Linked DNA regions of Macaca fascicularis. The protein of the gene in region 1 interacts with the protein of each later gene in a pairwise test. Links are inferred from orthologs where the notes say so. Each region holds a gene or a part of one and is shown in the gene's direction. Other genes may lie near its edges.

The links.
Region 2: the proteins of ARRB1 (region 1) and GNMT interact in binary tests that used the Homo sapiens proteins (3 or more experiments, as listed by UniProt). The link is inferred for Macaca fascicularis from reciprocal best matches to the Homo sapiens genes ARRB1 and GNMT.

What each region holds. Positions count from the first base shown.
Region 1 is NC_088388.1:74,216,901-74,221,309, reverse strand, and holds the start of ARRB1 (beta-arrestin-1), read left to right. Parts: upstream 1-1,543; 5' UTR 1,544-1,656; coding exon 1,657-1,676; intron 1,677-4,409. UniProt on the Homo sapiens protein: Functions in regulating agonist-mediated G-protein coupled receptor (GPCR) signaling by mediating both receptor desensitization and resensitization processes.
Region 2 is NC_088378.1:128,572,931-128,577,489, reverse strand, and holds GNMT (glycine N-methyltransferase), read left to right. Parts: upstream 1-1,686; 5' UTR 1,687-1,700; coding exon 1,701-1,906; intron 1,907-2,820; coding exon 2,821-2,948; intron 2,949-3,367; coding exon 3,368-3,484; intron 3,485-3,688; coding exon 3,689-3,831; intron 3,832-3,933; coding exon 3,934-4,055; intron 4,056-4,138; exon of another isoform or gene 4,139-4,140; coding exon 4,141-4,312; 3' UTR 4,313-4,483; downstream 4,484-4,559. UniProt on the Homo sapiens protein: Catalyzes the methylation of glycine by using S-adenosylmethionine (AdoMet) to form N-methylglycine (sarcosine) with the concomitant production of S-adenosylhomocysteine (AdoHcy), a reaction regulated by the binding of 5-methyltetrahydrofolate.

The sequences.
Region 1 (4,409 bases):
AGGACCTGGCCTCACCATCCTGGTTAGGGATCTCCTGTCATCAAAAAGATTCTAGTCTGCTCCTTTCCAGATCTCTGAGCCCTGCAGAAACAACAGGTGGCTTCCTCTTCTTCCCCTGTGGAGGGTGAAGCCCAGAGGCCAAGACTGGGAGGAGGGTTCTGGGCCTTCCTCCATATTCTCTAGCTCCTAACATTGCCCAGAGGTGGGCCACCCTGCCTACCCATCAGCCTTCCCCTGCCCCTCTGCCAAATCTGGACATAATTATAGTAATGATACTGCATATAAACAGTATAGGTAACTGCTTCTGAGCATGATTACAGGAGATGTTTACACACTCACAACAGCATCAGAGTAAATGATAGCTTCCTCCCTTAATACTTAGACCTTTCAGGGATAGTTAGCCAAATCTCAGCAGTGAGGGTGTGGGAAAGACCTTACAATTTCCCACTACCTGCAAAGCAGGAAGGCACCTCAGACAAAGCAGCGTCCCAGCCAAGATTTCACAGGACATCAAGAAGCCTGCAGAGAAGTGGGCTAACATCTACTGGGCACCTACTGTATGCAGGCACTTGGGGAGGCCAGCAAACAAGCAAGTTCTTTCAACCTATTAATTCTGCAGGCTGATATTAGTGTATCCTCACTTTACAGGTCCGGACATGCGTTCTCAGAAGCTTGGTGTACAGGGTCACCCGCAGCAGGCCATGGAGCTAGGCATGGGCACTTTCCACGGTGCTACCCGGTCACATCAGCGGGCCAGCTCTGCCCTCTTCCTTTATCGCCTCTTCTCACTTCTCGCAGCTTCCCTTTCCTGGGCGGCTTCCTGCAGCCCTTGCTGGTCGCGGGTCTCCGCTCAGTTCCCCAGTGTCAAGGCCGTCTACTGCCCCCTCCACCCCTTCTTCCTGTCTCTGTTGGGTGACTGGGTGTTATCTCTCCAGTAGAAGGGGGTGGGGTGGGGTGGAATGGGGAAGGGTGGAGCACAGGGCGAAGGCCTTGCCAGGCATCCCGGGGTCTCCAGCTAGGCGAGCGGCCGCAGAGAGCGCGGCCTCGGGGTCGCCAGACCCTCGGCTTCCAACCACACGCACACACAAAGGCTGCCCCGGCATGCGCGGGAGAGCGCGCTCGCACCCACGGCCGTGCGCACACACGCACAACTGCACAAAGACGTGCACACTCCTCCATCCACACCAATACACTCCCAATAGGGCCAGCACACAGCCGTGCGCCCTCACGTACACCACACCACCACCACCATACAAACACACACACACTCACTCATACGGACTCGCACGCGGGTGGACCCCTCCCCCACCACAAACGCCGACCTTGGGGCCTTGACGCGTCCTGCAGCGCTGCCCCGGCTCGCTGGGCGGCGCGCGCACACGCAGACGCACGAGCGCGCGCACACACACACACACCCCGCGCGGTTCCACGCCCCTGACCGCGGCCCGGGCGCTGCGCTGCTCCGCGCGGCGGGAGGCGGGCGGGGACCGGGGGCGGGGGCGGGGGCGGGGGCGGGGGCGGTGGCGGCGGCGGCCGGGAGAGCGGAGAAGGCGGAGCAGGGAGCCGGGAGCGGGCTGGCCCGCGCTCCTCCTGCTGGCCGGGGATTTTCCAGCCTGGGTGCTGACGCCGCGGACCTCCCTGCGGCCGTCGCGGACCATGGGCGACAAAGGGACCCGGTGAGTGCAGGGCGGTCGCCCGGCGTGGGGCGTGTGGGGGCGACCTCGGCGAGGGCACGGGCGGGGGCTCCGATTGCGTCCTGGTTCTGTGTTCGCGGCCATCCCGGGATCTAGTACCAGCCCTCCTCCACCCGAGGTCTCCTGCGTGGTCTCCCCGGCAGGGCCGTGGGCGAGGGGGACCCAAAGGGCGAGGGCCGGGCCGCCCCATGTGGGCCGCGGCTCCTGGCCCGGACACACTCACAGCTTGCTGATACCCAGCATTGGCCGGCAGCCGCAGAAACGCGCGGGGGCAGGTTGACACACAATACACGCACGGGCACACTAACCCGTGGCACAGGCATGCTGGCGCACACACTGGCAGCCACTGGCACACGCTCATCACACACAGTGGCACGCCGTCATACACGCCTCGGTCAACACATTCTTGCTTACAGCCTTGTTGGCATGAACGGCTCACACTCCAACACACACCAATTCTAACACACCCTCGTGCTAGCACACACGTGTGGGCATACACTGATACGCAAACTGTCACCTGCACTCGCTGTAGCAAACACTCTTGCTGGTACACACATCACCCTCACTAGCACACACACTTGTGCTGGCATGTCTCACCAACACAGTGGAGCGCAAGGCCACACCAACACTGACCCCCACAGACACAATCAGACTAATGCTTGCAAAGACTGGCACCCCGCAGGCACGAGCTGCTAGCCGGAGGCCCGCTGACACACACGTTCCAGGCCCCACATGGCCAGAAGTGGAAACACACATCACACGGGGTAGAACGCTCCCCACTGCCCCCAGCCTGGGGAAAACAGATCCCATCCCATCCGAATAGATCGCATCCATCTACTCTGTTCCCTTTCCCTCTGACCTCCTGAGGAGTGGCTGGCCAGGGGCTGTTTTGAACCTAGGGCTGGGAGAACCCCTCCCGTTCTAGAACCTGGCCTGAAATACTCAGAAAGAAACGGTCTATGCCTCTGAAAGGGGAAAGTGGGACAGAAGGAGGAGGGGGCTGGAGCAGGACAGCCCCTGGGGGCAGCCCTTCAGACAGGACCAGCCCTTCAGACAGGACCAGCCCTGGTCAAGGGCTCAGCATTGCCACCCTATTTTCCCCGTTGCCCTCCCCACCCAAGTGGGCACAGCAGCCTCTTCCTGGGCTCCCCCTCTTTCTCATTGTTTTCTGTCTTTCTCCTCTCCTATTCTTGTGCCTGACTTCTGCCTCCTCCCTTTCCTCCCCTCTCCTCTCCTCGGTTCCATTTATTATTAAGCTCTTGCTGTATACTAGGCATAGTGTGGGTAATCAAAGATGCGCAAGGCCCACTCCTCTGAAGGAGCTAACAGACTAGAGAGACACACCCCAGTGGGCACCACCTTTCAGGGCCACTGACAAAGCCATTTCTCACGTACTGCCATCTGAGACTCTCTCTCAACAGTGTGAGAAAGGGCTTCCAGAGATTATTTCTATTTTCTAGAGGAGGAAACTGAGGCTCAGAGGCAACTTAGGCTCTTAATGTTTAGAAATTACTTTCCAGCCATCCTCCTGACAGCTCTTCCAGGGGGTTAATTTTCCTCTTCCTGTTTTCTAGCAGAGGAACCAGAGAGCTGGAGAGGTCATGTGATTTGCCTAAGGTCAAAAGAGGCCAGAGGCAGGGCAGAGGCTGGAGTCCACTTGGTCATGTCTCTGTGGATGGCCCTAGGGCACTACCAGGCCCCACATGGGCCAGGGAGGGGTGCCCTGCTCTGTGCTGGAGGCCCAGGCTTTGGGGGAGACAGCAGAAGATCATGCTGTGTCTGCATGCATCTTGATGGCTAGTCCCCATTGCAGCTGGCTGGCCAGCACTGTGACCTAGGCCTCTGTCCTCAGTAGGAAGGTATGTGACTCCCTCCCCAGCCACATCCATCTTGACCCATGAGGTCAGGCTTTTCTTCCTGCAGGGTATAGCAGGGAGTTGGAGCCATTCTCCACTCCTCCTGTCCTTCCTAGGCTGCCTTGTGATTGGGGTAACTCAGCCTCTCTTGGGTCTCTCTGTACCTCTCTGTGACTTGGGGGATAAGTGTCATTGCTGTCCTGCTGACATGATTGTCAGGAAGATGTGGACACCATGGGCTTCCAGGCACCTGTTGGAGACCCTGTCTCTGAGGCCAAGATATTTTCCATGACTCCCCCTGCCCTGCCTTGAACTCACTGCTGGACCGTTGGGACATTGGGCAATTGCCTTTACTTTTCCGGACCTTAGTTTCCCATCTGTAAACTGGAGCTATCAATACTTAACATTTTAAGGCTTCCCTTGTACTTACTGACTTCACTGGGCAGGGGAAGAGGCACTGCCTGAAGCCTGGAGCCAAGGCCCAGCTAAATCCACCTGATAGTGGCCCTGACCTCCCCCTCAGACTCTCCTGCAGCCCCATGAGGGCTTTCTGTCCCTTTCCAGACAGTTTGCTAAGTAATTTGGAAAAGAAGGGCAAAATCGGTAATGGGCTGTACCTTGTCTTTTTCCGTAAGCCATGAGATTCTACTTTATCTATGACTTAGAGGAGGAATCTGAAGATATCTAAAACTGAACATCAGGAATCATTGCATCCATCCCTCCATCTGGAATTGCACCCCCATATGAAAGTGACAATGAAAATTTATCAGAAACTGTCACTGCCTTCTAGGAATTCCCAGGTTCAAGGGGGAAAGTGGTGTTAAATACCTGGACAGGGCTGTGCGTGGTGGCTCACGCC
Region 2 (4,559 bases), on another chromosome or scaffold:
ACCGTGAAACCCCGTCTCTACTAAAAATACAAAAAACTAGCCAGGCGAGGTGGCGGGCGCCTGTAGTCCCAGCTACTCCGGAGGCTGAGGCAGGAGAATGGCCTAAACCCGGGAGGCGGAGCTTGCAGTGAGCTGAGATCGGGCCACTGCACTCCAGCCCGGGCTACAGAGCAAGACTCCGTCTCACAAAAAAAAAAAAAAATCCTCCTCTTGGGGTATGCCCTATGTAAATGAAGAGGATGAAGTAAAGTTACAATTATAAAGTTATTAATGGTGGGTGTACACCTATGGAGAGGATATTTCCCATTATAACTGAAGTGTGAATTGGCCTTATGTTCCCTGCCTCCAGACGCTATTTTCCTGCCTCATGTGAAAGCAGAGGGTTTTTTGTTGTTGTTGTTGTTGAGACGGAGTCTTGCTCTGTCGCCCAGGCTGGAGTGCTGTGCCTGGATCTCAGCTCACTGCAAGCTCCGCCTCCCGGGTTTACGCCATTCTCCTGCCTCAGCCTCCCAAGTAGCTGGGACTACAGGCGCCCGCCACCTCGTCCGGCTAGTTTTTTGTATTTTTTTAGTAGAGACGGGGTTTCACTGTGTTCGCCAGGATGGTCTCGATCTCCTGACCTTGTGATCCGCCCGTCTCGGCCTCCCAAAGTGCTGGGATTACAGGCTTGAGCCACCGCATCCGGCCTTTTTTTTTTTTTTTTTTTTTTTTTTTGAGAGGGAGTCTTGCTCTGTCACCAGGCTGGAGTGCAGTGGTGCCCTCGGCTCACTGCAACCTCTGCCTTCCCGGGTTCAAGCGATTCTCCTGGCTCAGCCTCCTGAGTAGCTGGGACTACAGGCGCGTGCCACCATGGCCCGGCTAATTTTTTTGTATTTTTAGCAGAGACGGGGTTTCATCGTGTTAGCCAGGACGGTCTCGAACTGCTGACCTCAGGTGATCCACCCACCTTGGCCTCCCAAAGCGCTGGGATTACAGGGGTGAGCCACCGCGCCCGGCCAGCAGAGGGTCTTTAGAAGGGTTCTCAGTGATCCAGAAATTGGAAGCAAGGCCCAACTTACACCTTAGGAAGCTCAGGGAAAAGCCTGATGGTCACCTACAAAACAGAGGCACATTGGCCTCCAGGTGGGCGGGGAGCATTCTTCCAGCCCCGGCTCCGCCCCGGGCTTGGGTGGACAGACCAGCTTTACCTCCAGAGACTCCCCCTGTCTTCCCTGCATCGGCTGGCTAGCCCCACACACTTTGGCTGCACATTCTTTGTTTAGATCTGCTGATGCCTTCCTTCGCTGGGAACGGTCCAGTCCTGCCCGCCTGGCGCTCAGCTCTGTGGATCTGAGGTTTTACTTCCTCTCTTTCCAACTTGGGAGGGGGGGATGAAGTGGCAATCTCATTGCTCCCTCCTCTCCTGGCCCCTCTCGCCTTCTCCTGGAGACCCAGGTTAAGTGGGCAGAGGATTCCGAGGGTCCTCTCCTGCCGTGGGATTGCACAGAGGGCTGGGTCCGCAGGCTGGCTAAAAGGACCTAGCCCAGGATTGCAAGGCAGCGCCCTCCCCGCAGCTGTACAGCCTCAGGCGTCCGGCGCAAAGCCCAGCAGGGGCGTGTCCGCGCGCTTACCTGCCATTGGCCGGGTGGGGCGGTCGGCTGCCTGAAGTGCCTGTGCTATAAGTGCGGAGCGAGTGACTGCGAAGTCAGGCGCGGCGCAGGATGGTGGACAGCGTGTACCGGACCCGCTCCCTGGGGGTGGCAGCCGAAGGGCTCCCGGACCAGTACGCGGACGGGGAGGCGGCGCGCGTGTGGCAGCTGTACATTGGGAACACCCGCAGCCGCACCGCCGAGTACAAGGCATGGCTGCTCGGGCTGCTGCGACAGCACGGCTGCCAGCGGGTGCTCGACGTGGCTTGTGGCACCGGGTAAGCCCAGGAGGGGGCCGGGGGCGTTGCATGAGATCGGTGTCCGGCTCAGCCTGTACCTCGCGGCCGCAGAACCACAGGACCGGCACGTCGGGGCGGCCTTTGCCAGTCTGGAATGGGTGGGACACCAGGGCCAGGAGCAGGTACCTGCCCGGCAGAACAGGCACTGCGAGTGCCCCCTGAGGCCAAGGGTTGGGGCAGGGGTGCTCAGGGAGAGGCCACTGAGAAGGGAGACTGAGTGTGAGTGAGGGTGTGGGCAGAAAAGTGAGCGTCCTTAAGGCTGTGGAGCCAGGGCCACGGACAGACTCCAAATATTCCTCCTGTGACGGCCTTGGGCAGTGTTAACAGTTAACATTGCTCAACATTTGCATCTGTCAAGCCAGTGCCAGGAGCTTTTGATACATCAGTTTTTCAAACCCTCACAAAGCCCCATGAGGTTAAGCAGTGATACTCTCTCATTTACTACTGGGGAAGTAAGGGCTCAGCAAAGTAAAAGTCCCTCATACAACATCCAGTGAAGAGGAGCTAACAGGCCCGGGTTGGTTAAGGTCTGTCCTGTGCTCTAAACCACCATGTTCTGCTGCCTCTTGTGCACACCTATTTTAACTTAGAGGAGCCTCAGCTTGTCTGTCTCTCAAATGGGAATAACACTATTTACCTCTCAGGATTGCCATGAGAATTACTGCATATTTGTAGAGTGCCTAGCTCTGAAGAGGCGCCTTAAAAAAAAAAAAAAAAAGTTGCCTCGTGGTGATAGGAAATAGATTTGTGAGGTCAGTGGAGAGGGCCTGGGGAGAGGAGGCAGAGGAATGGACTCTGAGAAGTGGAGACAAAAGTGTCCGGCACAGGGTCTCCTGGCCCTCCCAGGCTCCCCTGACTGCCCCTCTCTGTCTCTCTCCACTGGCCCTGCCCAGGGTGGACTCCATTATGCTGGTGGAAGAGGGCTTCAGCGTGACAAGTGTGGATGCCAGTGACAAGATGCTGAAGTATGCGCTTAAGGAGCGCTGGAACCGGCGGCACGAGCCCGCCTTCGACAAGTGGGGTATGCAGGTCTAGCCAGGCCCCCCCAGCCCAGTCACCAGGAACACTGTTCATTCTGCCTGGGGCTCCTTTAAGTGGGGGTGGGGGTGGGGTGTTGTGTTTTCCTCGGGGAGACAGCAAAATTTCCTCGGGGAGACAGCAAAATTACTGTAATTTCTCTGAAAAGCAAGGCTTAAGCTCCAGAATGAGACACTGGGTGTGAAGAGCTGGTTTTAACTGTGTTTATGGCATCTTGTCCCTCCCCTCAAAGAAAAGCCCATAAGCACAGAGCCCTCCTTCTGAACCAGGGTTCCTCCCCCTAACCGAACGGGGAGTTTTTGTGTCTTAAGAAGAATCCCAGGCAGGACTGCACTTGGTGGAGGTGGCTGCTACTGGTACCATGGTGCCTCCCTGATTCCTCTTTCCCTTCCTGGCCCCCAGTCATTGAAGAAGCCAACTGGATGACTCTGGACAAAGATGTGCCCCAGTCAGCAGAGGGTGGCTTTGATGCTGTCATCTGCCTTGGAAACAGTTTCGCTCACTTGCCAGACTGCAAAGGTGAGAGAGGGTGTGGCCTTGGGCATGGCCCCCGCCTTGAGCTGTACCCCCTTCCACAGACCTCTGGGCACCTGCTCTGCAAAGCAGACTCTCTGCCTCTCTCTGATTTGGCTCTGGTACCCCTGGGGAGGGGAGAGATGGGAGGGAGACTGGTGCTGGGGGCCCTGAGCAGATGGAGCCTTTCTGCCCCTGCCTGGCGCTCAGGGGACCAGAGTGAGCACCGGCTGGCGCTGAAAAACATTGCAAGCATGGTGCGAGCAGGGGGCCTGCTGGTCATTGATCACCGCAACTACGACCACATCCTCAGCACAGGCTGTGCACCCCCAGGGAAGAATATCTACTATAAGGTGGGGCCCTCTGGGATTGGGGGTGGGGGTGGGGTGGAGGGAGGGTCCAGTGGCCCCAAGGTAGGTTACAGAGGCTAACGCAGCCTGCCCCACCACCTACAGAGTGACTTGACCAAGGACATCACAACATCAGTGCTGATAGTGAACAACAAGGCTCACATGGTGACCCTGGACTATACAGTGCAGGTGCCGGGGGCTGGCCAGGATGGCTCTCCTGGCTTGAGGTACCACTTGGCTCAGTGGGGGTGAGGCAGTAGTTGGGGAAGCTGAGGTCACCAGTCCTCATGGTTGCTGGGGGCTCTGTTACAGTAAGTTCCGGCTCTCCTACTACCCACACTGTCTGGCATCCTTCACGGAGTTGCTCCAAGCAGCCTTCGGGGGCAAGTGCCAACACAGCGTCCTGGGCGACTTCAAGCCTTACAAGCCAGGCCAAGCCTATGTTCCCTGCTACTTCATCCACGTGCTCAAGAGGACAGACTGAGTGTGGCCTCAGCTCCCACAAGCCTCCACCCAGGCACTGCTAGGCTCTGTCTTGAAGATCGGGACCAGCAGCCCCACACCAGGGCCAGCCTCTAGAGCAGACTACAGCTGGGGTGCAGGGATGTGGGTTCCGCAGATGGAAGGTTAAACAATATAGTCTGTGCCTTTTTCAGTTCCTGCATGCCTTGTGTTTATGTCAGAAGGATCAGACTCCCACGATGCCCAGCCCCCCGCCCGCCCCCAGGGCT